Callithrix jacchus: one gene and its partners. The protein of the gene in region 1 purifies or fractionates together with the protein of each later gene. This does not show direct contact. Links are inferred from orthologs where the notes say so. Each region holds a gene or a part of one and is shown in the gene's direction. Other genes may lie near its edges.

What was found.
Region 2: the proteins of DDX6 (region 1) and LSM14A purify together in Homo sapiens (affinity purification with mass spectrometry; 4 studies listed by BioGRID and IntAct, with this or other methods). This does not show direct contact. The link is inferred for Callithrix jacchus from reciprocal best matches to the Homo sapiens genes DDX6 and LSM14A.
Region 3: the proteins of DDX6 (region 1) and LSM14B purify together in Homo sapiens (affinity purification with mass spectrometry; 4 studies listed by BioGRID and IntAct, counting the BioPlex papers as one, with this or other methods). This does not show direct contact. The link is inferred for Callithrix jacchus from reciprocal best matches to the Homo sapiens genes DDX6 and LSM14B.
Region 4: the proteins of DDX6 (region 1) and ATXN2 purify together in Homo sapiens (affinity purification with mass spectrometry; 6 studies listed by BioGRID and IntAct, counting the BioPlex papers as one, with this or other methods). This does not show direct contact. The link is inferred for Callithrix jacchus from reciprocal best matches to the Homo sapiens genes DDX6 and ATXN2.
Region 5: the proteins of DDX6 (region 1) and EDC4 purify together in Homo sapiens (affinity purification with mass spectrometry; 4 studies listed by BioGRID and IntAct, counting the BioPlex papers as one, with this or other methods). This does not show direct contact. The link is inferred for Callithrix jacchus from reciprocal best matches to the Homo sapiens genes DDX6 and EDC4.
Region 6: the proteins of DDX6 (region 1) and DCP1B purify together in Homo sapiens (affinity purification with mass spectrometry; 6 studies listed by BioGRID and IntAct, counting the BioPlex papers as one, with this or other methods). This does not show direct contact. The link is inferred for Callithrix jacchus from reciprocal best matches to the Homo sapiens genes DDX6 and DCP1B.
Region 7: the proteins of DDX6 (region 1) and LSM12 purify together in Homo sapiens (affinity purification with mass spectrometry; 5 studies listed by BioGRID and IntAct, with this or other methods). This does not show direct contact. The link is inferred for Callithrix jacchus from reciprocal best matches to the Homo sapiens genes DDX6 and LSM12.

The regions. Positions count from the first base shown.
Region 1 is NC_133511.1:18,429,046-18,432,824, reverse strand, and holds part of DDX6 (putative ATP-dependent RNA helicase DDX6), read left to right. Parts: intron 1-2,230; 5' UTR 2,231-2,498; coding exon 2,499-2,698; intron 2,699-3,779.
Region 2 is NC_133523.1:30,894,920-30,899,464, forward strand, and holds the start of LSM14A (protein LSM14 homolog A), read left to right. Parts: upstream 1-1,510; coding exon 1,511-1,631; exon of another isoform or gene 1,632-1,914; intron 1,915-4,545. Other genes in the region: uncharacterized protein LOC144580722, read right to left, coding at 1,141-1,512. UniProt on the Homo sapiens protein: Essential for formation of P-bodies, cytoplasmic structures that provide storage sites for translationally inactive mRNAs and protect them from degradation. Acts as a repressor of mRNA translation. May play a role in mitotic spindle assembly.
Region 3 is NC_133506.1:57,684,688-57,689,247, forward strand, and holds the start of LSM14B (protein LSM14 homolog B), read left to right. Parts: upstream 1-1,529; 5' UTR 1,530-1,760; coding exon 1,761-1,887; intron 1,888-3,516; coding exon 3,517-3,680; intron 3,681-4,560. UniProt on the Homo sapiens protein: mRNA-binding protein essential for female fertility, oocyte meiotic maturation and the assembly of MARDO (mitochondria-associated ribonucleoprotein domain), a membraneless compartment that stores maternal mRNAs in oocytes.
Region 4 is NC_133510.1:114,460,403-114,464,651, reverse strand, and holds the start of ATXN2 (ataxin-2), read left to right. Parts: upstream 1-1,319; 5' UTR 1,320-1,575; coding exon 1,576-1,805; intron 1,806-4,249. UniProt on the Homo sapiens protein: Involved in EGFR trafficking, acting as negative regulator of endocytic EGFR internalization at the plasma membrane.
Region 5 is NC_133521.1:25,412,220-25,415,998, forward strand, and holds part of EDC4 (enhancer of mRNA-decapping protein 4), read left to right. Parts: intron 1-14; coding exon 15-106; intron 107-189; coding exon 190-377; intron 378-445; coding exon 446-573; intron 574-664; coding exon 665-818; intron 819-1,147; coding exon 1,148-1,581; intron 1,582-1,667; coding exon of another isoform or gene 1,668-1,679; coding exon 1,680-1,784; intron 1,785-1,868; coding exon 1,869-2,021; intron 2,022-2,101; coding exon 2,102-2,138; intron 2,139-2,273; coding exon 2,274-2,715; intron 2,716-2,815; coding exon 2,816-2,931; intron 2,932-3,030; coding exon 3,031-3,196; intron 3,197-3,283; coding exon 3,284-3,470; intron 3,471-3,550; coding exon 3,551-3,770; intron 3,771-3,779. UniProt on the Homo sapiens protein: In the process of mRNA degradation, seems to play a role in mRNA decapping. Component of a complex containing DCP2 and DCP1A which functions in decapping of ARE-containing mRNAs. Promotes complex formation between DCP1A and DCP2.
Region 6 is NC_133510.1:15,180,983-15,184,761, reverse strand, and holds part of DCP1B (mRNA-decapping enzyme 1B), read left to right. Parts: intron 1-738; coding exon 739-987; intron 988-2,972; coding exon of another isoform or gene 2,973-3,038; exon of another isoform or gene 3,039-3,267; intron 3,268-3,779. UniProt on the Homo sapiens protein: May play a role in the degradation of mRNAs, both in normal mRNA turnover and in nonsense-mediated mRNA decay. May remove the 7-methyl guanine cap structure from mRNA molecules, yielding a 5'-phosphorylated mRNA fragment and 7m-GDP.
Region 7 is NC_133506.1:70,883,557-70,887,335, reverse strand, and holds part of LSM12 (protein LSM12), read left to right. Parts: intron 1-159; coding exon 160-269; intron 270-1,588; coding exon 1,589-1,684; intron 1,685-2,236; coding exon 2,237-2,363; intron 2,364-3,516; coding exon 3,517-3,609; 3' UTR 3,610-3,779. UniProt on the Homo sapiens protein: Nicotinic acid adenine dinucleotide phosphate (NAADP) binding protein. Confers NAADP sensitivity to the two pore channel complex (TPCs) by acting as TPC accessory protein necessary for NAADP-evoked Ca(2+) release.

The DNA.
Region 1 (3,779 bases):
CTTTGTTTTCAGGTCTTTGTATGTTTTTATTAACTACAATTAAAAGTAAGATTTAAGCCGGAGCGGTGGCTCACCCCTGAAATTCCAGCACTTTGGGCAGGCACTTGAGGTCAGGAGTTGGAGACCAGCCTGGCCAACTTGATGACACCCCGTCTCTACCGAAAAATACAAAAATGAGCCGGATCTGTTATCTCGGCTACTCGGGAGGCTGAGGTAGGAGGATCACTTGAACCCAGGAGGCGGAGGTTGCAATCAGCTGAGATCGGGCCACTGCACTCCAGCCTGGGCAACAGAGTGAGATCCTGTCTCCAAAATAAATAAATAAATAAATAAATGTGAGATTTCCATTTACAGGATAATTTTAAAATGAGGTTGGCCATTTTTGTTTTGTTTTTGTTTTTGAGGCAGAGTTTTGCTTTTTTGCCCAGGCTAAAGTGCAGGGCGCCATCTTGACTCATTGCAGCTTCTGCTTCCTGGGTTTTAGCGATTGTCCTGCCTCAGCCTCCCAAGTAGCTGAGATTACAGGTGCCTGCCACCAAGCCCAGCTAATTTTTGTATTTTAGTAGAGACAGGGTTTCACCATGTTGGTCAGGCTGGTCTCGAACTCCTGACCTCAGGTGATCCACCAGTCTGTGCCTCCCAAAGTGTTGGGATTACAGGCCTGGGCCACTGTGCCCATCTGCCAGTTTTTTTTGTTTTGTTTTGTTTTGTTTTAAGTATTAATTAGATTTACTACTCTGGGTTTCTTGGAAAGTTTTTTTTTTTTTTTTTCCAGATGGAGTCTTGCTCTGTCACCTAGGCTGGAGTGCAGTTTTGCCATCTCTCCTCACTGCAACCTCTGCCTCCCAAGTTCAAGCAATTCTCCTGCCTCAGACCTCTGAGCAGCTGGGACTACAGGCACATGCCACCATGCCCAGCTAATTTTTGTATTTTAGTAGAGACGGAGTTTCATCGTATTAGCCAGACTGGTCTCAAACTCCTGACCTCATGATCCACCCGCCTTGGCCTCCCAAAGTGTTGGGATTACAGGCATGAGCCACCGCACCCAGATGGAAAGTTTTCTTTAAATTACTAATGCGTTTAGTCTTTCATGGATTTTTTTTTTTTTTAGCACAGGAATTTTCCTGTTTAATTAATACTATGTAAAATCAGATTAGTTATTAGCTGAGTTTGTTATAAATGAATAAAATTATTAGAGTCATCTTGTTTTTGTCAGTTTCAAAAAAAAAATAATAATTTATACAAAATTTGTGTGTATCATGTGTCCTTAGGATCATTACTTGCCGAATACATTATGGCAGAAATACACTATTCTCTTGACTGTTTCCTTTATTGTTTTAAAGGACAAAAACAAAAGAGAAAAGAAAATACATTTTTCTTCAAGTTTGTTTTGTTTGAGACAGGGTCTTGCTCTGTCACCCAGGCTGGAGTGCAGTGGCATGATCTCGGCTCACTGCAGCCTCCACCTCCTGGGATCAAGCCTCCAGAGTAGCTGGGACTACGTTACAGGTGTGCGCCACCACGCCAGGCTACGTTCTGTATTTTTAGTAGAGATGGGGTTTCACCATATTGTCCAGGCTGGTCTCAAACTCCTGACCTCAAGTTATCTCCCACATTGGCCTCCCAAAGTGCTGGGATTACAGGCATGAGCCACCATGCCCAACCTATAAAGTTTAATAGTTGAAATTCATAAGGGCACAACGGTCTATTTTTTTTTTTTTTCTGAGAAGTGTAAAGTTCAAGTCAAAGCTCACTTAAATCTATAGGGACTCTCAGTTGATATTAGAAGTAGAAGAAAATTAATGAATTGTCTTGTCAAATACAGGTTTACACTAAGTAAATTGTGTGATACTTCAGTGAGTTGTAATGCAATTAAGTATAATGAATCACTGACTTTCAGAGATGTCAAAGATTCAGCGAATTCACTGGGGAGGAAACTGAAGAGAAGAGATTGTCATTTGACAAGTAGTACTAATTTACTCGTGTCTTTCTACCTAATCTTCTCTAGGTTGCTTTGAATTAACAATTTTAAATGTTTTAGATTGGCTTCATTGTGTTTTTGAAATAGTTCAAAGTTGTGTCTTTCCAAGCTTGGCTAGTGATTTGGTCTAAGTAGCTATAGTATTAAATCTTTAATGTAAAAGATGAGAGTTCTTCTAAAGGGATTCTTTTGAAAAGAAAACAGTTTTTCTGTTGAGTTTACTGATTTAATTTTGTTTGTTTGTTTCAGATTGACGTGAGTGAATTCAAATATAACTCAAGCTTGTTAGAAGGCTTTTTCAAAATAAAAAGTTGATTCCGTGCAAGAGAGCAAGTTACTGCTGCTTACCGTTCAGAGACTTAACAGGTGCTTGCCTGCATTGCAATAAAGGACTCATTTATTGAGCAAGACATATTTATCTCTTCATTTTGGAGAGCCTAATAAACTGTTATTACAGTTTCTCTACTGACTTTCAAAAGTTTTGAAGTTTGAAAGACATCTTTGCAACTAAAACAGCATGAGCACGGCCAGAACAGAGAACCCTGTTATAATGGGTCTGTCCAGTCAAAATGGTCAGCTGAGGGGCCCTGTGAAACCCAGTGGTGGCCCTGGAGGAGGGGGCACACAGACACAGCAACAGATGAACCAGCTGAAAAACACCAACACAATCAATAATGGCACTCAGCAGCAAGCACAGAGTATGACCACCACTATTAAGTAAGTGTTAGAATAAATCATAAACACTCTTGGGGAACCAAGATTTTTGTTTCTTTGGTGTTGACTATTAATACTTATACCTGAATTTAACAGTTTTGATTACAAATAGAGGATAGATTACTTTGTTTTATGGCCAGTAGGTATTTGCAATAGAATAGTGTGTTTCTGCCATAATTTTTCTAGCAAGTAATGATTCTAAGGACAGATGACATACACAAATTTTGTATAAATTATTTTTTGAGACATTTCTGGCTTTCATAATTAGTGAAGAAGTTATGGCCAGGCACAGTGGCTCATGCCTGTAAACCCAGCACTTTGCGGGGTCCAAGGTGGGTCACCTGAGGTTGGGAGTTTGAGACCAACCTGACCAATGCGGAGAAACCTCATCTCTACTAAAAATTCAAAATTAGCTGGGTGTGGTGGTGCATGCCTGTAATCCCAGCTACTCAGGAGGCTGAGGCAGGAGAATCCCTTGAACCCAGGATTCAGAGGTTGCAGTGAGCCAAGATCGAGCTATTGCACTCCAGCCTGGGCAACAAGAGCGAAACACCATCTCAAAAAAAGTTATTAGCTGAGTTTGTTATAAATGAATAAAATTATTAGAGTCATCTTGTTTTTGTCAGTATAGTTTTTTTTTTTTTTTTAGTGTCCTTAATGACTGCACCTTACCCTAGTTAAATAGCAGATAAAGCCAAATTTAAGTTTTAAATTTAAAGGCTCAATTAAATTTAAAGGCTCAATCTGAGTCTTTAGCGGCTTTAAAGACTTGCCCAACCTTCCGAACTCCAAGCATTATTTACTCATAGAAAATTCACTCATAATTTTTTTTAGCTTATGGAATTTAGGATTTTCACTTAAAAAAAAGCTGGCCGGTTGAGGTGACTCATGCCTGTAATCCCTGTACTTTGGAGAGGCCTCCCTCAAGTGGATCACTTGAATCCAGAAGTTAAGAGACAAGCCTAGCCAACATAGCAAGACTCTGTGCCTACCAAAAATAAATAACTAAATAATTTTTTTTCTTTTACTCAGAGACAAAAAGGGAACTAAGAATTGAACTCACAGAACACAATTGTGAACAGTC
Region 2 (4,545 bases), on another chromosome or scaffold:
AGTGACCAAAACAACATCCCTATCTCAAAATGTTTATGTTCTAATGAAAGAGACAGACACATACAAATAAGTAAACATACTTGAGAGAGATACATGCTATGAAGAAAATGCAAACTGAGTTAAGGGGATGTAGAGTGATGTGGGTGGTATTATTTTAAACAAGGTTGTCAGGGACGTCATCTCTGGAGGTGATATTTGAGCAGAGATTGGAATAAAGTGTTCAAATACTAGTTGAATTAGACGTGACTGGAACAGAACGAGAAGCAAAATCATGCATGTCCTTTGAAGCAGTCTGGTTTCCTCTCTGTGTAACATGGGATCAGTAGAGTGAGTAGAGAAAGGACATGATCTGAGTTCGATTTTAACAAGTTCTCTCTGGCTGCTGTGTTGAGAATAAACTAGAGGGCAAGGGTTGACACAAAAGCAACTTTTAGAAGGCTGCTGCAATAACTTAGCCAGAGTAATCGCGGCTTGTCGTGCAGCTGTAGGGATGGAGATGAGGAGAAGGGGTCAGATTTAGGAAATATTCTGTAGACATAACAGAGGTGTACTCAGAACAGATGTGGAGGCAAGACAGAGGTCAAGGCTGACTCAAGGCTTTTAGTCTGAGCAGCTGAGTAAAAATGGTACCTGTTACATCAATGGGGAACGGTGGTGAAGGAGCAGGTTAGAGGAGAAACAGGGAGCATGGCTTTGGACCCTTAACGTTTGAGATACCAATTCCACAGAAATCGGAGTTCACGGAATTGATCCAAGTTACAGACTGATACTTGGGATTGGTGAGTTGCAATGGCGATGCAAGCCATTAGGCTGGTTCAGACCAGATGAACGAGCGGGACAGGGCGAGCTGAAAAACTGGGTCCTTTTGAGAGCCCCAGCTCCAGGAGCAACCTCAGGGGAAACTTCCTGGGCGATGGCTGCGGTAATGGAGCCGTGGAAGCTCCACGAGGTACAGGTTCAGCGTCTTAAAAGGATGAGCAGCGACTCGCCAAAGCTCGGAGGCAGGTGGGTGGGCAGCGCTCCAGACGGGGGGCCTCGCGTCGGCAAAGACACGGGACCCACGACAAAGAGGCCGCGGCCTGGGTCAGGAGGGCCGCGCGCCTCCTCTCCAGCCCTCAGCGAGCGGGTGCCACGAGGCACTCAGCAAGTCCCCGAAATTCCTCTCACGCTGCCCCAGGACTGCCGTCGTAGCCCAGGTAAATAGGCGCTGACAGGACTCCCGAAGCCGCCAAGCAGTCGGGAACCACCCGCCACCTGCCAAGTCTCGCGAGGGCGCGGCCTCGCCCTCCCAGCATGCTCCGCGCCGCCGCCGCTGCCGCCGCGGCCGCCGCCGCGCCGCGACTTGAGGGCGGGAGGCTGGGGGAGGGTAGCGGAGCCGGCACCGTCGCCATGTTGGGTCTGAAGCGGCTGCTGTAGGCGCCGACCTAGCGAGCGGGCGTGCGGAGCGGGCGACAGCGGCGTGGGATCTGCCTCTCTGCGAGCGGCCCGGGGCGGCGGCGGCGGCGGCGCCATGAGCGGGGGCACCCCTTACATCGGCAGCAAGATAAGCCTCATCTCCAAGGCAGAGATCCGCTACGAGGGCATCCTCTACACCATCGACACCGAAAACTCCACCGTAGCCCTCGCCAAAGGTACGTGGGACCGGGCCTCGGGGTGGGGGTCGGACCGGGCGCCACTCAAGGCTGCTCCCCGCTCCGGCCCTCAGCCTCCTGGCTCGCTCCTTCCCCTCCCTCCGTGGAGCTCCGGGAGGCCGCTCCCCTCCATTCTCCGGGCCCTGGCGTCGCGGGCCGGACCGCGGCCTCCCCGCGTCTCCCTGGCTTCCGCCCCCCAGGAAGGTCCGCGCCTGAAGCACGGGGAACTACGGGACTGAGTACGCGGCGGGCGGGCGTGCGGGCGGCCCTGAAGTCCGACAACGGGCGGGAGAACACGGAGAAACGGGTCTTCCAACTCCGAGATTCGGGAGTTCTGTTGTCTTAGCACAAAACAAAGCCCGAGTATTCAAAGAATTTTTTCGCCCAGCTTGAGTTCATCGTGGATGCGTTGACTCCACAGCACCCATTTTCTCACTTTATTCATTTCTGTTCGTGGCGATCTTCCTCAGGAGAACTCTGAGTAATGTGCTAAAACTTTGGGTTTGCTCTGCGACGCAGACATTTTCGAAATGCCATCGGTGCAGTGGAGCAGATCCCATCTCCCTCGGCTCATCCTCTGTTGGTATTTACCTGTTAAACCGGAATTCTCAAAGCCTGTTGTGCAACCATCTTCATTAGAGCGTGCGGTAAAAATGTTTGCTGCTTCCCGGACGCCCCTGCTTCTGGAAACGAGTTCAAGCTTGTCCGGGACCCTTCTTGATCCAGGCGATCTTGACCTTTGATCCAGGCTCAGTGGGCATTGACTGAAGGCTCGTTGGGAAAGGGAATTCTGTCGAGAAGGAAGGTGCCCCTACCCATAGTATTAATATTTGGCATCCCTAGAGTCTGTGTGGGTTTTGTTTCCGTTCACACGTGCAGGGCCTTTGCTCCTCCAGGAAAGCAGAAAGAAAATAAACGTTAGCTCCTGAATCTTAAGGAAATCTCACAATAGTGTAAAATATTTTGGGGGAAGCTAGATAACCTAGGTGATTTTCCCAGCGCTTCTGGTAGAGGTGGGAACTGCATAAGCATGCTTAGGGATCCTCTAGATAGGTCATAGGTACAAGGATAAGGAAGATTTTCATAATCTGTAAAATTTTTTAAATCTTTAACTGATAGGGGAGTGGTTTCACGGAATCAAGTATTTCAGGACATTTCTTTGGATGCTTTGGTAAATCCCTTTTTTTTTTTCCTCTCTCTCCTTCCCCTGAGATGGAGTTTCGCTCTCTTTGCCCAGGCTGGAGTGCTGCAATGGCATGATCCCGGCTTACTGCAATCTCTGCCTCCCGGGTTCAAGCGATTCTCCTGCCTCAGCCTCCCAAAGTAGCTGGGATCACTGGCATCCGCCACAGCGCCCTGCTAATTTTGTGTTTTGAGTAGAGACGGGGTTTCACCAGGTTGGCCAGTCTGGTCTTAACTCCCGACCTCAGTTGATCAACCCTCCTGAGCCTCCCAAATTGCTGGGATTATAGGCGAGAGCTACCACGCCTGGCCTCTGGTAAATCTTTTTAACAGCCCTAGTACTGGAACAAATTTTACACCTGGGTAGGGAACCTTGATGTTATAGAACTGTACACAGTAAGGGAGTAGTACGAGATGGCTACAGTTGCACAACTCTGCAGATTTGCTGAAAATCATTGAATTATACACTTTGAAATCACCAAGTCTAATTTTAAAAGTGTGAAAAACCAGGGAGTACCCCTAAATTTCCCTGTTCACCTTGTGAAACATTGTGTTGTGACACATTACCTCATTAAAACAACTGTAGGAGGCCGGGCGCGGTGGCTCAAGCCTGTAATCCCAGCACTTTGGGAGGCCGAGGCGGGTGAATCACGAGGTCAAGAGATTGAGACCATCCTGGTCGACATGGTGAAACCCCATCTCTACTAAAAATACAAAAAATTAGCTGGGCACGGTGGCGCGTGCCTGCTAATCCCAGCTACTCAGAAGGCTGAGGCAGGAGAATTGCCTGAACCCAGGAGGCGGAGGTTGCGGTGAGCCAAGATCGCACCATTGCACCCCAGCCTGGGTAACAAGAGCGAAACTCCGTCTCAAAAAAATAATAAAAATAACTAAAAAAAAAAAAAATAAAACAACTGTAGGCTTAGGGCTTTGTCATCTTTTTAGACATCCACTATACTTGAGGATGTATGATGGTGTTTAGTGGTTATTAAAGACTTTCCCAGTGATACTTCTTAAGTAACTTAGTTTTTGATTGGCCTTATTTTTTATTTTTTAATAGTAGATATTTAGCTGTGTAGTATTTTTCTGGCTTTATGAAATTATGAAAAAGCCTCTATGAAGTTATGAAAAGTGCTGGATCAGAGCCAGATATGGGTTGAAAATAATTTCTCATTAAAGTTGTTTAATAAATTTTTTTTAAGTGTTGCTTTGCCTAATCTGAATTTAAAGTGTCTTGCCAGTTTAGTGACTCAATAAATTGGCTGTGCTATCTTCACGCCTCACAAGGAAAAAAAACATACATTTGAAAATTTCTGAAGTATTTTCGTTCTTTTTTAAAAACTATGAACATATCCTTTTATGCAGGAACCCCAAAAGTCTACACTTTAACCCACATTTTAAAAACTTTTAAGCAGCTTTGAGTCGATAAATATTTCATTAGTCTGTAATAGTTAAATTCATTCGACATAAAATATAAATTTGTTTTTTGTGTCATGACTTGATAAATATAGGAATAGGGCAGTAAAAAAAATTTTTAATCATTGAATTTTATGTTTGAATTCGTGGCTTTGATATTTCATCCCACACCATTATATGCTTTTTTTTTTTTTTTTTTTTTTTAATGAGATGAAATTTGCACTCTGTTGCCCAGGCTGGAGTACAGTGGCACCACCCTGGCTCCCTGTAATCTCTGCCTCCCAGGTTCAAGCAATTCTTCTGCCTCAGCCTCCTG
Region 3 (4,560 bases), on another chromosome or scaffold:
CACAGCTCACTGTAGCCTCCAACTCCTGAGCTCAAGTGATCCTCCTGTCTCTGCCTCCGCCTCCCAAGCAGCTGGAACTACAAGTATGTGCCCCCACACTCGGCTAATTTTTTTTTTAAGTTTTTTGTAGCGATGGGGTCTCCATATGTTGCCCAGGCTGATCTCAAACTCCTGGCCTGCAGTCATCCTCCCTCCTTGGCCTCCCAAAGAGCTGGGATTACAGGCATGAACCACCACGCCACACCTTCTGATATTTTTTATCTTACTCTATTTCATTTTTTAAATTTATTTTTGAGACGGGGTCTGGAGTGCAGTGGTGCCATCTCTGCTTACTGCCACCTCCACCTCTCAGGCTCAAGCGATTCTCCTGCCTCAGCCTCCCCAGTAGCTGGGATTACAGGTGCCCACCACCATGTCCAGCTAATTATTTTTGTATTTTTAGTAGAAACGGGGTTTTACCATGTTGCCCAGGCTGGTCTTGAACTCCTCACCTCAAGTAATCCACCCGCCTCCGCCTCCCAAAAGTCTGGAATTACAGCGTGAGCCTTGGCTCCAGGCCTATCGCGTTTTTATAGTTACCACCCACGATTTTTTTTTTTTCCGGAACCCAATATTGGTCCCTGATCTGAAGATGTTCACGGTCAAGAGGGAGACTAAAAAAGCACACACCGCACGCCCTCTGTCACTAATCACGCGGAGGGCCCGCGGCTAAACGACTGCGGGCGGCTGAGCTTCCTCCACGGCCGGGGAGGTGGGCAAGGCCTCTGAGCCATAGTCCCGGGGACGAGCGGAGGCCTCCGAGGCCCCCGGTAGCCAGTCAGAATTTATTTTAGTGGAACTGGAAAGCTGCGGCAGGCTTTCGGAGGAGTGGCAGGATTAAAAGAGAAAGTGTGCTCAGCATGTTATATTTAGTGGCTGCCACGCCGGAAGCGTAGCCGTCGCAGGAGTTGCCGCCCCCCGCCGGCACCTGGGCACCCGGGCGGGAGTCCCGGGACTCCCCGGGAACACCCGGCGACCAGGGCCTCCGCCGGTCCCGGGTCTCCCACGAGGGTGAGGGTCAGGGGCGCAACTGGCCCAAGATAAGGAAGTCGCCTTGGCCCCACTTCTGTAGGAGGAGAAACTGAGGCCAAGGGGGCAAAAACCCCTAGTTGGCCGTGCCCAGGCTCCGGGGCCACGCCGGCACACGCGAGGGCGGGGCCTGGCGCTCCTCCCAGGCCCCGCCCACCAAGCGTGCAAACAGCGGCCGCCCACCCACGCGCACGCGCGCTCCGTCCAGGACGCTTCCCACCCCTCCCCCGGACTGCTGAGTCTCTAGTGCCCAGCTCCGTGCAGGGCCCGCCGGGAGCTAGACGTGAAGGGGCGGAGCGCCGAAAAGACCCGCCTCCGAGCAGCGGTGCCTTGTTGCGCAGGCGTGGCGCGCGGGCGCGCCCACAGCTGGCGGCGCGGCCGTATTTAAAGGACGGCGGGCGCAGCGAGCCAATGGGCGGCGAGCGCGAGGGGGCGGGGCGTAGCGGCTCGAGGCCCCGGATGTGGATGCGGCGGCCCCCTCCTCCCCCGCGTTCCCCTCGGAGTCCCGGCCGAGAGCCCTTCCTGCTCGGTGCCCGCGCAGGCCCCTCGGGCGGCGGCGAGGAGGCGCTCCGGCGGCGGCGGCAGGGCGGAGGAGCGCGGGAGCGGGCGGCCAGGCCACCGCGCGGTGGCGGAGCGGGCCGCGGCCCGGCGCTTGTTCCCTCCCGGCGGCCCAACGCGCCCCGGCCGCCGCCATGAGCGGCTCCTCAGGCACCCCGTATCTGGGCAGCAAGATCAGCCTCATCTCCAAGGCGCAGATCCGCTACGAGGGCATCCTCTACACCATCGACACCGACAACTCCACCGTGGCTCTCGCCAAAGGTAGCAGCCGCCGCCTGCCCGCCGGCCCCAACCGCCCGACGACCCCTGTCCGCCAACAGCCCCGGGGCGCTCCAGAGCCCTGCGTTGAGACCCCCGTACACCCAGAGCCCAGCGCCCAGACCCCGCCCGCAGAGCGTCCCCGCGCCCGGCGTTGAGACCCGCGGCCCGCGCCTTCACCCGCTCCTCGGGGCGCCGCTCCCGTGCGCCACCCTCCCCCAGCGCGGCCGGCCGCACAATGGTCTCCCTGGGCGGCGTTTGGGGAGGGACGGGCCTGGGCCCCGCGACGCCGCCCCCTCGGCCGCCCAGCCCGGTCCTGCCGGTGCGGGCCCCGAGGGCCAGGGTGGCTCCCGGCAGTGGGGCTGCTCCCTGCCCGCCTCGGGTGTCCCTGCGGGGAAGCCTCGGGGCCGGGGGGCGGCGTGACCACGCGCGAATCCGGCGATCCTTTCTGGAACCCATCAGACAGTTGGGGCCTTGAGCGAACGCATCCTGTGCTCTAGTGCAGCGTGCTGCCCGGGCAGGAGCACCCGATGCCCACCGTGTGGCTTTCCCTGTGGTGGCAGCCGCCTGTGGGCGCTGGGAGGCTTCGAGGCAGGGGCTCTTCTCTGACTCCGGAGGGCCAGACGCTGAGGTTGGGGCAGCGGGTGGTGCAGTCCCTTTGTCTTCATACCCCGAGAAGATGGGGAGTGCCCTTCCCTGCCTCTCAGCGAACGGTGCGAGTGCAGCCGGGACTGCCTAAGTCCCGTGTCTGGGTCTGGCGCTCGGCTCCCCGGGTTCTTGAGGGGTCAGACGCGTCTGAAACGCCGCTTGGGTCACAGGACGCACTCATCCCAAACTGGGACTGTCAGCTTTTGGAGCCCGTCTCCTGCGTGGCTCAGGAGCTCGCGGAGCGTGCCAGGGCTGGGCACTCACTGCAGGAGAGCCCAGCGAGGGACGCTGAGCTCCAGCGTAGGCCCAGGACTCAGCAGGAGTGGTGCTGCTGTCCCTCCCAGCTCTGCCCCTGGAGGCCTGCTAAAAAGAGACTCGGTGGGGCTCCTGCCAGCCTGCTGTTTAGGGGCTGGTACCCCAAGAAGTCCCTCGGGCTCAGAATTCCTTAGAGGTGCGGAAGCTGGGGTCAGGGGTCCGCAATCCCGGCACTCTGTCTCCCTTGTTTCTGTGGCAGCTGTTCCAAGGCTTGTTGTGGATGGAAGGGTAAGGGGAACACTCGCTCGTCTAGGTTCCTTTGCCCGAAAACTATCCCCTCCCCCCGCCCTCCAGGCGCAACTAGTGGTGAAGCTTCGGACATAAAGCAGCAGGCTGGCCGTTTGATTCGCAGAGTCTGGAGTGAACAGGAAAGCCTTGCGAAGCAGGCCTTGTTTTGCTGAGAGCTCTGTGTTCGCACAGGAGACAGCGAAATAGTTCTTGTCATCTTTGTGATATAGAACCGTCTGGAGCTTCACCAATTGATGCGCAATCAGCATTGTACACTGAAAATGGGGGTGTTAAGTAGATGTTGAAATGTGGAGCTGGGGTGCTGTGTTGTGGCTCTGAGCAGGTGCCACCGTCTTCTGGAAGGCTTAAGAGCAGTTGCGTGAGGGTTGACTGAACTGGCTGAGGACAACACCTTAACGCTTCTCTTTCTCCACTCGTAAGTGAGGTCCTTTGGCACCGAAGACCGTCCCACAGATAGGCCTGCTCCCCCCAGAGAAGAGATTTATGAGTACATCATTTTCCGGGGAAGTGACATCAAAGATATCACTGTGTGTGAACCTCCGAAAGCTCAGCACACACTCCCGCAGGATCCTGCCATTGTTCAGGTAAGTGTGCCACTGCCCCAGTGTGCACGCTGTGAGAGATGCTGGTCTCCACATGGAGCGTGGTGGCATGTCGGGTCAGGTGCTCAGTGTGAGGGAGGAATAACCTTTTGATTTAAAGTGGCTTAGCTTTTGTCCAGGCTGTTGCTGTTCCGACAGAAGGTGATTCTTGTAGTGCACAGTAGGTGGCCTGTGCTGTGTAGCATGGCTCTTAAGGATGGAGAGCTGGGGAGCCTGGTGCACACATGCATGTGTGTGTGTGTGTGTGTGTGTGTGTGTGTGTAGAGTGGATGTTCCGTGTGTATGTATAGTGTAGTGTAGTGAATGGATGTTCTGTGTGTGTGTGTAGTGAGTGGATGCTGTGTGTGTAAGTGTAGTGAGTGGATGCTGTGTGTGTGTGTGTAGTGTAGTGAGTGGATGCTGTGTGTGTGTAGTGTAGTGAGTGGATGCTCTGTGTGTGTGGTGTAGTGAGTGGATGCTCTGTGTGTGTGTAGTGTAGTGAGTGGATGCTGTGTGTGTGCGTGTGTGTAGTGAGTGGATGCTCTGTGTGTAGTGTAGTGAGTGGATGCGCTCTGTGTGTGTGTGTGTGTAGTGAGTGGATGCTCTGTGTAGTGAGTGGATGCTGTGTGTGTGTGTGATGTAGTGAGTGGATGCTTTGTGTGTGCATGTGTGTGTGTAGTGAGTGGATGCTGTGTGTGTGTGTGTAGTGTAGAGTGGATGTTCCGTGTGTGAGTAGCGTGTTTGTGTGTATAGTGTAGTATGAGTGGACGCTCTGTGTGTGTTTGTGTGTAGTGCAGTGAGTGGATGCTCTGTGTGTGTGTGTGTGTGTGTGTGTAGTGTAGTATGAGTGGATGCTCTGTGTGTGTGTAGTGTAGTGTAGTAT
Region 4 (4,249 bases), on another chromosome or scaffold:
AGTCTCTCTTTAGATGGGAAATAAAACTGATTTCCTACATTGGTAGAATACAATGATCATTTTTGCCTGGACTATCTAGGAGTTTAATTTCATTTGGGCTACTGAAAACTGCTGGTTTAATCATTCTCCATGTTTTTCTAGGTCTTTATCTGGACAATTCTAGGACATTGAAGGGGAATTTTGGTGTTTCTTCCTCTATTAATTTCCTGAAGTCATTTCACTCAAAAACACTAGATTGGCTGCTCAAGATAAAAAAAGTTATCTACTTGCTTCCAGTTTACTTGCAACACATTTTATAAAGGGTCTACTCTGCTGGCTGGCTAAGTTAAATTAAAACTTATAAAGGGTACAAGGTCTAAAGTTCGCACGTTCTTGTGAGGTCTGCTTATTCTCAGCTCTACCAGTCTCAGTCCCGTATATTTCCTTCAGAATCTCGTGAATGAGGAAAAAGTTCAGATGAAGGTCAGATACCTAGAAGAGTTTTCGAGGCTGGGATGAAAAAAGTGGGGAAAAGGTACCCAGATGTGGGTGGCCCCGGAGGGTTTCTCCACTCCAGCCTCAGCAGGACAGCATAGCGCGGCCTGCCTGGAAGGTTCCCAGAGGCACTGGAGAGCCTAGTGTGTGCCCGGCAGGAAAACGGCGGGATGGTGTGCCCCCTGAATCTGGCAGGGTTGTAGGTGCTTTACACGTAGAAAGATAAATTCTCCACTCCAAAGAACTCGCAGTTCATTTTCTGGGTTGCATCAGGTGGGGGCAAACGAGGTCCCTGCAGGAGTGTGAGGACGTTGAAGGAATACACTGGGGGAAAAAATGCTTCCCTGCCGTTCTCCACACCAGGCAGGCCCCAGAGGCTAAGACCGACACGCCCTCCCCGAAGGGCAGACCCGCCTCGAGAGGGCGGACCTGGGAAGGGCCTGCCGCCTGGCCCTCACCCGACCCCCGCTAACGCGGACCAGCGGTGCGCCCGCTCTTCACGTGTCCCTCCCGGTCCCGGGTCCGCCTAACGATTTGCTTCCGCCCGACTCCTCCGACTTCCGGTAAAGAGTCCCAATCCGGCATCCCCGTGCCCACCCGGCGCCTCGGCGCACTCAGCCTCCGATGCGCTCAGCGGCCGCACCTCCTCAGAGTTCCGCGGCAGCCACCGAGCCTCGCCGTTTCGCCGCAGCTAGGTGGCCCGGGGGGCGCTCGCTCCCGCGGCCGGCACGGCGAAGCGGGCGGGGCGGCGGTGGCGAGGTACCGGGCCCGTATCCCTCCGCCGCCCCTCCCCCGCCCGGCCCTGGCCCCCCTCCCTCCCCGCAGCGCTCGCCTCTCTCCGCCTCAGACTGTTTTGGTAGCAACGGCAACGGCGGCGCATCCCGGTCCGGCTTCCGGCGGTTCCTCGGTCTCGGCGGGCCTCCCCGCCCCTTCTTCGTCCTCCTTTTCCCCCTCGTCAGCCCGGGCGCCCCCCCGGCCGCGCCAACCCGCGCCTCCCCGCTCGGCACTCTCGCGTCCCCGCTGCGCTCCGGCGACTCCTCGGCGCGCCCGGCTCCCGACTGTCCCCGCCCGGCGTGCGAGCCGGTGTATGGGCCCCTCACCATGTCGCTGAAGCCCCAGCAGCAGCAGCAACAGCAGCAGCAGCAGCAGCAGCAGCAGCCGCAGCCGCCTGCGGCCGCCAATGTCCGCAAGCCCGGCGGCAGCGGCCTTCTCGCGTCGCCCGCCGTCGTGCCTTCGCCGTCCTCGTCCTCTGTCTCCTCGTCCTCGGCCACGGCTCCCTCTTCCTCGGCGGCCGTGGCGACCGCTGGCAGCGGGAGGCCCGGCCTGGGCAGGTGGGTGTCGGCACCCCAGCCCCCTCTGCTCTGGGCCCGGTGTCCCTTCCCCCGCGGCTCGCGCGGCGGTCCCCGCCCCATGACCGGCAGGGCTGCCCGAGGTGGGCTGGGGGCTGGCGGCGTGTGGGGGACTCGCCCGGGCCAGAGTCCCGAGGCTCGGCTGGGGGGCGCCGCGGGGGTCTTCTGGGATTGTCAGGCCTGTCCAGCCTCCCGCAGCATCCCCGCCCCCTCCCCCAGCGGTCAAGATGGAGGGAGCCAGCGGCCTCCCCTCCCCACGCGTGTTGGGAGGAGTTCTCGGGTCGCGGCTGTGGTCACCCCTGGCTCCCCCTTTCGCACGCCCCCTCCTCCCGCAGCAGGGGTATGCTTGGGCAGCGTCCCACCCCCAGTTTAGGTGTGAACGTTGGAGGGGTCTGGAGGCTTTGGTGTCGTTTTCCGGAACATGTCGTTCCCCCATCGTGGGGGACATCTCAGAAGGGGAGAAGTTAGGGCCGCGTCCCCCGTGCGCGTTAAAGGGGTAGGCACTGGGCTCCTCCGGAATCATCAGGGTCTATCGGGGCTCCTCTCCCCGCCCCCTCCCAGTCCTGGGAAAGATCGGAAGACTGGGTGGAGACAGGTGGGCCTTGGCCCCCGCACCCCTCCCCGTTTGATTCCGAGGCTGCGGCGGGGGCTCCCGAACTCCCGTGGAATCTTGGGGCTCCGTGCAGCCTCCTGCAGCGTTCCGCCTTACCCCTCCTAAGGAAGGGAAGGGGTGGGGAGTGCCCGGCCTCCATTCTTCCCCCGCCTGGCCTGTCCGGCGCGCGGGTGGTGGCCGATCCGCATTGCTGTTCCGAGGCTGCGGTGGAGAAGGCGCCTGTGAACAGTGGTGGGCGAGGGCCGGACCCAGGCTGGATCCGGGAGATCCGGGGCGGCGGTGCTGGTGGCAGGGAGCGGGTGCCCTGCGCACTTTTCCCAATCCCCGCCCCAATTTCGGAAATGCTAGGAGAGAGAGATTGCAGAAGGGGACGTGGTGTGGTTTCTGAACGCAGAAATGTTTATTGGTGTCTTTTTCCCACCTAAGCCGGGGTTGTGATAGAGACGGGGCGAGGGATCAGTGTTGTCCTGGCTAACTGGTTTTGACTCTGGAGAGTGTGTTCGTGCAGGAGGTCCTATTGAGGGTGGCGGGGGGTGGTGATTGTCAGTTCGTATTTCACGAACTAAGAAAATGCTTAGTGTTCAAACGGAGAAGCAAATGTCAATAGACTCCATTCCATTGTGGCCGGTGTCCTTAACTTCGGGAGTGCCGCCAGAGCTTACCAAGGGCACGCAAGTCCATTTCCCCTGTGCCCCAAGTCTATCCGTGTTGCAGGCGCTACTGTGCCTCCCTTAGGCCTAGGCCGCCGGCTTGGCAGGGCCAATGACTGGCGTCCTCCTTAGACATCTTGGGTTTTGGAAGGTGGGATAAGAGGATTTTTCACGCACCTGAGTTTTCTTTTTGAACACACATTTTCAGCAATCCATTTCTAAATAATTTTTATTTACAGCTTAAGTTCCCCATCAAGAGGTATCAGCTGGTTTTTAAGGAATTCTCTTGCCTTCAATGGGGCCAGGGGCTGAAATAGTCTTCGGTTATTTGACTTACAAGCCTCGTCCCGTCCCCGCCCCGCCCCCCCCCCCAACTTCTCTGAGTCTGAAGCATCCCAGCCACTACTTAGCCAAACTAGTTCAGGTGAAGTGATCATTTCCCCTCATAGAGTAACTTCACTTTCCCTTTTTTGTTGGCATCTAGTGAGGAATGAAAAAATTTTAAGTACAATTTTTATAGAAAATGATGCATTGTTTTTATTTTCTTAGGTATTAGAAGGAGATTTGGCAGATATTTTCAACTTGTTCAAATACATACAAATTAAAACTAAGGATTTTAAATTGCATTGACTCTTAGGCTTAAAAATTAGATTATAGCAGAATTTGCTTCAGAATAGCTTGAGTGATGAGAGATACTTGGAATGTTTTAGTTCCACAAGGCCTTTTTCTGTTCCTTGAGGCTTTACAACAATTTAAGATTAATTTAGATTTTTTTCCTTGCTTTACATTCTTTTACTCGAGACCTAAATGGTAGCCTTTATTCTTTTTGATGAATAGGTGAAATTTTATTTACTGTGTTGGATTTGTATAATGTGAAATTTATTCTTGTGCAGATTGTTAATGTACTTGTAGAATTACTTTGAATTTTGAATCACTTTACTGCTTTCCTTGTAAATAAGTTTCAACTTCTGGAATCGCCTCACTTTGGTTTGTGTATCAGCAATGAAAATAAGTTTCTGAGAGCAAGGGTGAAATAAGAAAATGCAGCGTTGGGTTTGACAAGTTTTGAGATAGCAAAATATTCTTGAAAGTCTGGAAATACATCTGCTTTAAGAAACATATTTTGACTTCTGTTTTTTTTTTTTTTGTATGTGTGTGTGAAT
Region 5 (3,779 bases), on another chromosome or scaffold:
TTATCTTCCTGCAGGGCACTACAAGATGTGCAGATTCGCTTCCAGCCACAGCTGAACCCTGATGTAGTGGCCCCGCTTCCCACACACACTGCCCACGAGGACTTTAGTGAGTAGGGCGTGAGAGGGAGGTAGGGTAAGTTGGACTGACCAGGGTCTGAGATCTGACTCAAGTGGCAACTTGTCCTACAGCATTTGGAGAGTCTCGGCCTGAACTGGGCTCTGAGGGCCTGGGGTCAGCTGCTCACGGCTCCCAGCCTGACCTCCGACGAATTGTGGAGCTGCCTGCACCCGCCGACTTCCTCAGTCTGAGTAGTGAGACCAAGCCCAAGTTGATGACACCTGATGCCTTCATGACACCTAGCGCCTCTCTGCAGCAGGTACTCTCCCAAGGTAGGGGGACCTGGGAATGCCCCAGCCACAGCTCTCATTCCCTGCATCTCCCCAGATCACTGCCTGTCCCAGCAGCAGCAGCAGTGGTAGCAGCAGCAGCAGCAGCAGCAGCAGTAGCAGCAGCTCCCTTACAGCTGTGTCTGCCATGAGCAGCACCTCAGCTGTGGACCCCTCCTTGGTCAGGTGAGGCAAGGGTCAGAGATGGAGGATGGCAGGGACTTGTGCCAGGTGACACCAAGCTCTGGCTGCTGACACCTCAGTCTTCCCCCACCAGGCCACCTGAGGAGCTGACCTTGAGCCCCAAACTACAGCTGGATGGCAGCCTGGCAATGAGCAACAGTGGCAGCCTGCAGGCAAGCCCTCGTGGCCTCCTGCCCAGCCTACTCCCAGCCCCAGCTGACAAACTGACTCCCAAGGGGCCAGGCCAGGTATGTGAATGGGTGTGTGTAAAGTGTGGGGAGTAGGTGGGTGGCAGCAGGAAAGGTGGGTGGTGGGCTTCTCCCAGCCCCCTGCTGCTGGTCCTGCTCTTCCCTACGTAGTCCATGTTTTCCTGAGGTCATCTCACCCTCCTATGTTTCCTGGAAGGTTTCTCCTCAGCCTCCCTGTCCCCACTTTCTCTTCTGGGCTATGGCCCCGTTTTTGACTGTCCCCACTTCCCTGCTGCCCTGTCTCTCATTACTAATACTAGTGCCTCGTCTCTGTGTCCCCCATCCCTGCCTCACCTGTCACTTAAGCCCCCATCTTTGGCCCGCCTTAGGTGCCTACTGCTGCCTCTGCACTGTCCTTGGAGCTGCAGGAAGTCGAGCCCCTGGGGCTACCCCAAGCCTCCCCCAGCCGTACCCGCTCTCCTGATGTCATCTCTTCAGCTTCCACTGCCCTGTCCCAGGACATCCCTGAGATTGCGTCTGAGGCCCTGTCCCGTGGCTTTGGCTCCTCTGCACCAGAGGGCCTTGAGCCAGACAGTATGGCTTCAGCCGCCTCAGCATTGCACCTACTGTCCCCACGGCCCCGGCCAGGGCCTGAGCTCGGCCCCCAGCTTGGCCTTGATGGAGGCCCTGGGGATGGAGATCGGCATAATACCCCCTCCCTCCTGGAGGCAGCCTTGACCCAGGAAACCTCGACCCCTGATGGTCAGGTTTGGCCCACGGCACCTGACATTACTCGTGAGACCTGTAGCACTCTTGCAGAAAGGTGAGGAGCTTGGGAGGAGAAAAGTGTGCTAGCTAGGAGGAGGCTTTAGGAGGGGCTTCAGATAGAATCATCCACTGCTGAGTCAGCCTGTCCCCCAGCCCCAGGAATGGCCTTCAGGAAAAGCACAAGAGCCTGTCCTTCCACCGACCACCGTATCACCTGCTGCAGCAACGTGACAGCCAGGATGCCAGTGCTGAGCAAAGGTGGATGCCACCCTATGCCATTGCCCTCATGGAGGGGTGGGCAGCAAGTGGGCAAGGGCTTACCCCTCCTTCCCCTTCCCATAGTGATCACGACGATGAGGTGGCCAGCCTTGCCTCTGCTTCAGGAGGCTTTGGCACCAAAGTTCCTGCTCCACGGCTGCCTGCCAAGGACTGGAAGACCAAGGGATCCCCTCGAGCCTCACCCAAGCTCAAGAGGAAAAGCAAGAAGGATGATGGGTAGGGAGGAGTCCTAGGGAGGGGGGAGGATGGTCTCCAGGCTGCCTGACCTAGCCTGAGGTGCTTCTCGCCTATGGCAGGGATGCGGCCATGGGATCCCGGCTCACAGAGCACCAGGTAAGTAAATGAGTGCTCTTTGTACTCATGGGAATTTCACCCTGTGAGGATGGGGAAGGGCTCTGGGCCATTCCCTGGTCTGGTTTGTGGGGATGGGTGGGGCAGGCATCATGTGACTCTCAGTGATACTGGCAGGTGGCAGAGCCCCCTGAGGACTGGCCAACGCTAATTTGGCAACAGCAGAGAGAGCTGGCAGAGCTGCAGCACAGCCAAGAAGAGCTGCTGCAGCGTCTGTGTACCCAGCTCGAAGGTCTGCAGAACACTGTCACAGGCCACGTAGAACGAGCCCTTGAGACTCGGCATGAGCAGGAGCGTATCCTTGAGGCTGATAGCACAACATGGCATAGGGATGGGGGCAACATTCTTGGCCTGGGAAGGAGTACACAACCTGCTCCAGGCCTGTTCCTTAGCTATGGTGCAGAGCGGCGGCTGGAGCGAGCACTGGCTGAGGGGCAGCAGCGGGGAGGGCAGCTGCAGGAGCAGCTGACACAACAGTTGTCCCAGGCACTGTCTTCAGCTGTAGCTGGGCGGCTGGAGCGCAGCTTACGGGATGAGATCAAGAAGACAGTCCCTCCATGTGAGTTTTGCATACAGACTCCCTTTGGGTGGTTCAGGTGGGAATAGGGGTACCTGTCAAGTTTCTCCTAGCTCCACCTTCTCCTATTCCCCTCTCCCAGGTGTCTCAAGGAGTCTGGAGCCTGTGGCAGGCCAACTGAGCAACTCAGTAGCCACCAAGCTCACAGCTGTGGAGGGCAGCATGAAAGAGAACATCTCTAAGCTGCTCAAGTCCAAGGTGCTATAGGGCCCAAGATGTGGGTGGTGGTGGTGGTTCTGGCCTAGTCAGGCCAGGCTGCGCTCAGGCTTTCAACTTGGCCCCTCCCTCTAATTCCAGAACTTGACTGATGCTATTGCCCGAGCAGCTGCAGACACATTACAGGGGCCAATGCAGGCTGCCTACCGAGAAGCCTTCCAGAGTGTGGTGCTGCCAGCCTTTGAGAAGAGCTGCCAGGCCATGTTCCAGCAAATCAATGATAGCTTCCGGGTGGGGACACAGGAATGTGAGTGGGGTCGTATGACCCAAGGTGGGAACGACTATCCTCCACTTTCCTACTGTTCCTCTTACACTCCCTGTGGTCACTCCTCAGACTTGCAGCAGCTAGAAAGCCACATGAAGAGCCGGAAGGCACGAGAACAGGAGGCCAGGGAGCCTGTGCTGGCCCAGCTGCGGGGCCTGGTCAGCACATTGCAGAGTGCCACCGAGCAGATGGCAGCCACTGTGGCCAGCAGTGTTCGGGCTGAGGTGCAGCACCAGCTGCACGTGGCTGTGGGCAGGTGTGTGGGCAGGGTGGTGGGTTTGAGGAAGGCCAGATTGGGCTCCCTGTCCACTTCACCTCACTCACTTACCTTTGCAGCTTGCAGGAATCCATTTTAGCACAGGTACAACGCATTGTTAAGGGTGAGGTGAGTGTGGCGCTCAAGGAGCAGCAGGCTGCTGTCACCTCCAGCATCATGCAGGCCATGCGTTCAGCTGCTGGCACACCTGTCCCCTCTGCCCACCTTGACTGCCAGGCCCAGCAAGCCCATATCCTCCAGCTGCTGCAGCAGGGCCACCTCAATCAGGCCTTCCAGCAGGTACGATAG
Region 6 (3,779 bases), on another chromosome or scaffold:
TGAGTTAGAAGCAAATGATAGCTGTAGGAGTCAGTCAGCTAAGGATCAAAATGTCACTTGCATAACTGAAAGGGCTGTTAGAAAACTTGCTTTCAGGTCTGTTTGCCAAGGGAGTTAGACTCACCAGATAGGCAAGGCCGTGGCAGGGCTGAGCAACAGCAACATATCAGCTGCAGAAGCTGAAGATGCGGGCTCTCTGCAGGCTGGCAGATCCTGTCAGGGAGGGACCTAGAAAGGGTGGAGCCACACATCACTCTCCCTCCCAAAGAGAAGTGCATGAGGCTGCAGGAGGGGCAGGGAGTTGCTGTCACAGCACCTCCTGTGCTCCAGGGTCAGGAGGGGAAATGGGTAGGCCCCTATCAAGTAAGGGTGGCAGCTCACATAAGTTGGGAGACCTTTAAGTCAGAGTCATGGACAGCCAGGTCTGAGGAGAAGGTCAGTAGTCCTAAATGCATGTTGCCAAATACTGACAGTCAGCCTTAAAAATAAACTGTCACTCAGAGGCCAAGCTTCATATGCAGAGGGAACAGCAGTCACCACAGCAGACCATACCAGAGCTGCTCAGTGATGCCAGAGGAAGGTGCACAGAGAGTGGAACAAGAATCAGTTACACGTAGACTATTCTCGGCTAGGGAAGCTGTGCACAGGGAATGCTTAGATCACCTGCATCCACTGCTGCAAGCTGTCATGCCATGAGCTGCTCCTGACCCCACCCCTGTGTGTATTTGCTATGAGCAGGTCATCTCACCTCAGCGCATCCCTGCTACAGCAGCTCCTTCTCTGCTCATGTCCCCCATGGTGTTCACACAATCCACCTCCGTCCCACCAAAAGAAAGGGAGAGCGGCCTCTTGCCTGTGGGAGGCCAGGAGCTGCCTGCTGCCACCACCAGCCTCCTCCTGCCCATGCAGAGCCCAGAGCCCTCCGTAATCACCAGCAGCCCACTCACCAAGCTCCAGCTCCAGGAAACACTGCTGTACCTCATTCAGGTAAGCCATCACATCATCTCCCTTTGCACCTGACCACACCTGTTGGCCTCCTGGCTGTGACTTTCAGATAAAGACTTGGCCATGGCCTGCTTAGCTTCCGTGAGAATAACAGGTGTGTGTGTAACAACTCATCCTGACCCCAGTGGCTTCTGTGCTCGTTTAGCTTGGTGCTATTTAGAATACCAAGTGTGGCTTTGGATGTCTCAGCTCTTCAAGGATCTTGTCATTTGAAGGACTGTCTAAGGTCTCCAAGCTGTCACCTATCAGAAGAGAAGGAAGCATACGCTGGTGATTAAGCAGTCCCTGAGAGGACCCTGGGTGCTGCCGGGGGCCTGGAGAGAAAACTCACCATTAGGAAGTAGAGGTGGGAGCAGTCCTGGGCAAGGGGCCGTCTGCCGAGTAGGGAACAGGTCACTGAGCGAGTGGAAAACAGGGAGGGTAGCAAGTAATGGCTGTGGCTGCTGCAGGTGCGTTTTACAAGTCATTTTGAAATCTGCTCATTAGGATGGGATGGAGCGACAAGACTCCTTGTGAGCCATCGTCTCACTTGTCTATGAAATTGTGAAATAATAATGAGTACAGTAATAGCTTACACTCCATAGAGCTGGTGCCGGGCCCTGTTTTAAGTGCCACACACATATTAACTCATTCACTCCTTACACAACAACCCTGTTATTTTTCCCATTCTGCAGAAACGGAAAGTGAGGCTAAGCAACTGGTGAGGCACACAGCTTGTTCATAACACAGCGGGGATGCTCCATGCTGCCATGTGGCTCGGCTGCCCATCTATGCTGCATGTAATGAGCTCTTGCTACCATGCAGGCCCCTAGCCTGGCCCCCGGAGTGCCACTTCCCATATGCTCTCCCGTGGGCCATACTCTCCACATGAATGTTACCAGGGACCAGCCTCAGGAGAACATTCAGCACAGGGGCCCTAGCAAAGCACACCCAAAAAATAAATGGTAGGCCTTGAAAAGTGGAATATTTGTAGCCAGACAGACTTGAGACACCCCAGTTAATGTATTTAGATGTCTTTTTAGTAGATAGTCTTTAAGAAAACTTTTGTGGCACTTTGCTTAAACATCAAAGTGGCCTCTAGAGAGCAGGCTAGCCCTTCTGCGGTTGTCCTGTCCTACTCAAAAAGACAGTGGTCTCTATTAGTAAAACATTTTTTAAAAGCCTACATGTTGGCCAGGCGCAGTGGCTCCTCACACCTGTACTCCCAGCACTTTGGGAAGCCAAGGTGAGAGCATTGCTTGAGGCCAGGAATTCAAGATCAGCCCGAGCAACATAGCGAGACTACAAAGGAGACAGTTTGAGAGAGAATGAAAGGAATGGACTAGAAAACAGCAGAAGTGTAATAATCAGATACAAAGAAGGTCAGCAGCAAATAACTGAGCCTCACTAATTCATAAATAAATATCAGGATAAAAATATTTGCCACCTTTTAAAGCTATTCATGGTAAGCTCATGAGGAATTAGAAAGGACATCTATGAACTTCTTTACTTTGAGCAAATTTCTTAAGTTTGAATTTAAAAGGTTCATATGTTTTTCTGGCTCATTCCATTCAGATCACATTGTCTTGAGACTCTGATAATCCAGAGTAGTTGCTGAACACGGCTGGTTAGAAATTCCATTCCCCCTCCTTCCACTGTCGGAACGCGTTTTACTTCTTCCTGTGTACTAGACCTCATCTTCCCAGTCACTCACACAATCTGTTTTTAGTCTCTGCCTCTTGTTAGGATGCAGTCTCATGCATAGGAACTTTGTGACTACTTTGTAGGAAAAAAAGGGATAACATCACTCTCTTCATTGCATGAAAATAATGCTAACTCTGTGTGGGGTGCGAAGAGGGAATGAAGGGGGAATGTGAAGTGTGGGTGAATTACTAATGCTGTAAAGAATTCGAGTGGGAGGGAGAAGTCTCTAGAATTAAAAAATGAAGAAAACCACTGATTAGACCATGATTCCCACTCTTTGCCAGGCAAAAGAGCCCAGAGACTACCAGTCTTATTCCTGCCCACTTGCCAAGGCCAGAAACTTTCCATAACTTATGGAAAGACTTACGTGGACTTTGATGAAGTACTGATGAAGCATGTTGGAAGTAAAATGCTCAGTAATGCCCAAAACAAAGTAAAACCATTGCAGGTAACGTGGAGGGCCTTTAAACACCACAGTGGCTCATGCCTGTAATCCCAGCACTTGGGGAGGCCAGGAGTTTGAGACCACCCTGAGCAACATAGTGAGACCTTGTCTCAACAAAAAACTGACAAAGAAAAGCCAGGTACGGTGGCACACACCTTGTAGCCCTAGCTACTTGGGAGACTGAGGTGGGAGGATCACTTGACTGCAGGAGGTTGAGGCTGCAGTGAGCTATGATGGCAGTACTGCACTTCAGCTTGGGTGATGGAGTGAGACCCGGTGTCAAAAACCAAAAAAAAAAAAAAAAAAAAAAAAACAAGAAACAAAAAAACACACCACCTGGATCATGTCCTCCTAACTCCTCTGTCTGCTGGGGCCCCTTATCTTTGCAGACCCAGGCTGTTCTTGAGTAAACCTTGTTCCATGCTGCCATGTGGCTCGGCTGCCCACCTGTGCTGTATGTAATGAGCTCTTGCTACTGTGCATACTGACCGTGGAAAACCAGCAGCTCTGTCCGGCCTTGCCTCAACCCCACATAACATTCACACATGTAATTAAAAACCACCAGCTGTTAGATCAGACGGGGAGAGATGAGCCTCTCAGTGTCCAAATGCCAGTTCAGCTCTTAGACAGAGGAAGCCCTTTGTGT
Region 7 (3,779 bases), on another chromosome or scaffold:
GTTGTGGATTTTTAAAATTTGTTTCACTTTTCATTTCTGATAAAACAGAATCTGTCCAGATCAGTCTTTCCTGGCCTCCTTTCCTCAGCTTAGGTCCTGACTGTTGGGAAGAATGAAGATGAATCCCATTCTGAGTCTCTTTCCTCTCTTCCACCCTAGCTTGCCAGCAAAGCACGGACGGAGAAGGAGGAGAAGCTGAGCCAGGCCTATGCAATCAGTGCTGGTGTCTCTCTAGAGGGCCAGCAGCTCTTCCAGACCATTCACAAGACGTGAGTTAGGGGACTGGGAGGTCCTTCGTCCTGGGGTAATGCTACCTGATTGTGCTGTCTGATGGCAGGCTTTTGGGTGGTTGTCTTCCTAAAAGTCTACTGGGGAAGCTGGGAAGGGTATTGGCAATATGCTGGCATCCAGAGATACAGGTGCTGTTGCCCACTTTCCACACAGAAGAATAGTGTAATCATGGACAAGTTGTCTTCTCTGGTCCTCAGTTTCTTTTCTGTAAAACTTAGTTTTAGATTAGATCATCCCTAAGAATCCCTTTTAGACCTAGTAGTCCATAATTTAGAACTAGTGAATTTCTTTCTCTTTGATTTTGTTGTTTTGTGCCTTTCTCTAAAAGCTGATGCAGTTTTTATTAAGGATAAATTATATCACTTTTCCCAATGTAGATTGGGATGAACACAGAGAGTTAGAGTAGGCCACCTTCTTATCACCTCTTAAAAGACATTTTGTCACAGCAGAAGTCATTTGACTCTCCACTAGCTTCCCTAGCTGCTGCAAAACTGGAACATTTGATGCCCCCCTCCATCCCCCCCCACTGCCTTCTGTTCCCCTATTTAACCACCCTGGGTCTGGTGCACAGATGACAGCTGGCATCAGAGCTGTTTGAGGCCATGGTGTGAGTATCTGAACATTTACAGGTATGTGAAGGAACTCTCAGTCGCATCAGCTGCCCTGGGGCTCCCCAAGTGTGAACTGGAATGGGTTTTCCCAGTCTGGCAAGTGCCCAACTGTCTGATAATTGAGTGGAGCCAGTCTGAGAAGCAGCTCCCATTGTGGGTGATAAGGGTCAGAGTACAGATCATAGTAAGATGGGGAGTTTGTTTTCTATTTTTTTATTTTTGAGATGGAGTCTCGCTCTGTCACCAGGCTGGAGTGCAGAGGTGTGATACCGGCTCACTGCAGCCTCTGCCTTCTGGGTTCAAGCGATTTTCCTGCTTCAGTCTCCCGAGTAGCGAGGACTACAGGCATGTGCCACCACATCCAGCTAATTTTTGTATTTTTAGTAGAGATGGGGTTTTACTATTTTGGCCAGGATGGTTGCCTTGATCTCTTGACCCAATGATCCGCCCTCCGTTGGCCTCCCAGAGTGCTGGGATTACAGGCATGAGCCATCACACCTGGCCTTCTTTTTTTTGAGACGCGGTCTCATTTTAATCGCCCAGGTTGGAGTGCAGTGGCACAATTTTAGCTTAATATAGCCTTGATCTCCCTGGGCTCCAGTGATTCTCCCACCTCAGCCTCTGGAGTAACTGGGAGTACAGGCACATGCCACTGCTACTGGCTAATTTTTTGTATGTATTTTTAGTAGAGATGGGTTTTTGACATGCTGCCCAGACTGGTCCCAAACTCCTGGAATCAAGCAGTCTACCTGCCTTGGCCTCCCAAAATGCTGGGATTACAGGTGTGAGCCACCACACCCAGCCTGTTCTTTCTAAAGGTGGTATTTTTCCCTAGACCAATTGTTAGAAAACTATACCAGCAGGCCAGATCTGCTCATCTGTTTACTTATTGTCCATGGCTACTTTTGCACAACTATGGCAGAATTCAGTGCTAGTTGTAACAGAGAGGATATGGCTGGCAAAGCCTAAAATATTTGCTAAGAGACCCTTGAGAGAAAAAGTTTGCCAGCCTCTGCCCTAGGCTGCTATCTTAGTTGGGTTTCTTGAGGCTGCCATCACATTTTTATGACTTTTCAGGTCTCTGATGCTTCATTGTAACAATTTCTGGGCTCTCCCAAGAATAAATGTGCCTGAGTTTCATTGGTTTTCTAGCCAGTGGCACCCAAGGAATGTTTCTTGGCTACTCTGTGGGCTGCTGGCGTCTAGTTGTTGGCTTAATGGTGAGCTGAGAACTTGGTATCAGCCTTCTGGAATTATTTATTCATCAGACAGGAGATGTGGGATGCCCCCAAAAGGAGGTTACATGTATTTTGACTGCTGTCTTCTCCATCCAGCATTAAAGACTGTAAATGGCAAGAAAAAAACATCGTAGTCATGGAAGAAGTTGTTATTACACCCCCATATCAAGTGGAAAACTGTAAAGGCAAAGAGGGAAGTGCACTGAGCCATGTACGCAAAATAGTAAGTAAAGGAGCCTTGAAACTTTAGGGGAGAGAGAATGGTTCTTCCGGCCTTCAGTCTTTAGCACCAGAGCAGGACACTGTGCTACAGTCTCTGCCTCCCCTTGCAGCCCTGTGTGGTCTCCCTGACTTTCCTGTACTGTGGGGTTCTGCAGCTGTGGCTTGGACACTCCTGTGGGAGAGGAACCATGGGGTGGTGTGGAATGAAGTGAGTGGTTGACCCAATGTTCTTTGCTGGCTTTTTAGAATTAGCAAGGCCATTCCATGGTATTGGGCCTGAGCAGTTTCTCTTTTCCCATATTGGGTTTTTCTTTTTTAGAGACAGAGTCGCTCTGTTACCCAGGCTGGAGTGCAGTGGTGCAATCTCAGCTCACTGCAACCTCCGCCTCCAGGGTACAGGCGATTGTCCTGCCTCAGCCTTCCGAGTACCTGGGACTACAGGCGTGCACCACCACACCCAGCTAATTACTGTATTTTTAGTAGAGATGAGGTTTCACCATATTGGCCAGGCTGGTCTCAAACTCCTGTCCTGAAATGATCTGCCCACCTTGGCCTCCCAAAGTGCTGGGATTGCAGGCATGACCCACTGTGCCTGGCCCCATACTGGGTTTTTCTTAGCTGCAGGCATCCTTCTAGAAAGATCTGGTTGGTATAAATCAGTTGCCATTGGTGTCTCTGACCCTACATTTATCACTGGACTTTAGATTGAGTTATACCATTTGTGAAAACAAATTTCCAAAACACTCCTGCTTTTTTTTTCTCTGAGGAACATTGAGAGACCAACATTGTAGATGCAGGAAGTGTGGTAAGACTGTAATTCCCCCACCAGCTTTTCATTCTGCACTTCTGTGTAGAAGAGAGGAGGAATTTGGTCATGATAATCTCCTCTCATTTTATTGTTTAGTTTGTATAATCACCCTCTTCTAGCCAGTCTTAGTGGAAACTGCAAAAAATGTGGCTGAAGCAGGAGACTCTGGCCTACCTTGTGGTTGGAAAGGCCAGTAGACAGCAAGGACAGGGGTGCCTGGCTAGTGCATAGGCTGGACAGCCAGGGCAGGGCTGTTGAAACCTCGGTTGGATTGTTTGGGACCTTTCTTGTTTGTACCTTTCTTGCCCATCTCCTTTACTGATCTTGGTTGCTTGGTCTTTTTCAGGTTGAAAAACATTTTAGAGACGTGGAAAGCCAAAAGATACTGCAACGTTCACAAGCCCAGCAACCACAGAAGGAGGCTGCCCTGTCATCCTGAGTCCATACACATGGAGGACTCTTCCAGCATCCAGCCAAGGAGGCGCTGGTGGTGGCTTCAGCGGAGGCAGGCCGGGGGAGGGAAGGGATCCTATATGTCCTGTTGGCTCTTGTTAACAAAGGGTCAGCATTTCCAAATCTTAGACTTGAACAAACAAAACACCCAACAAA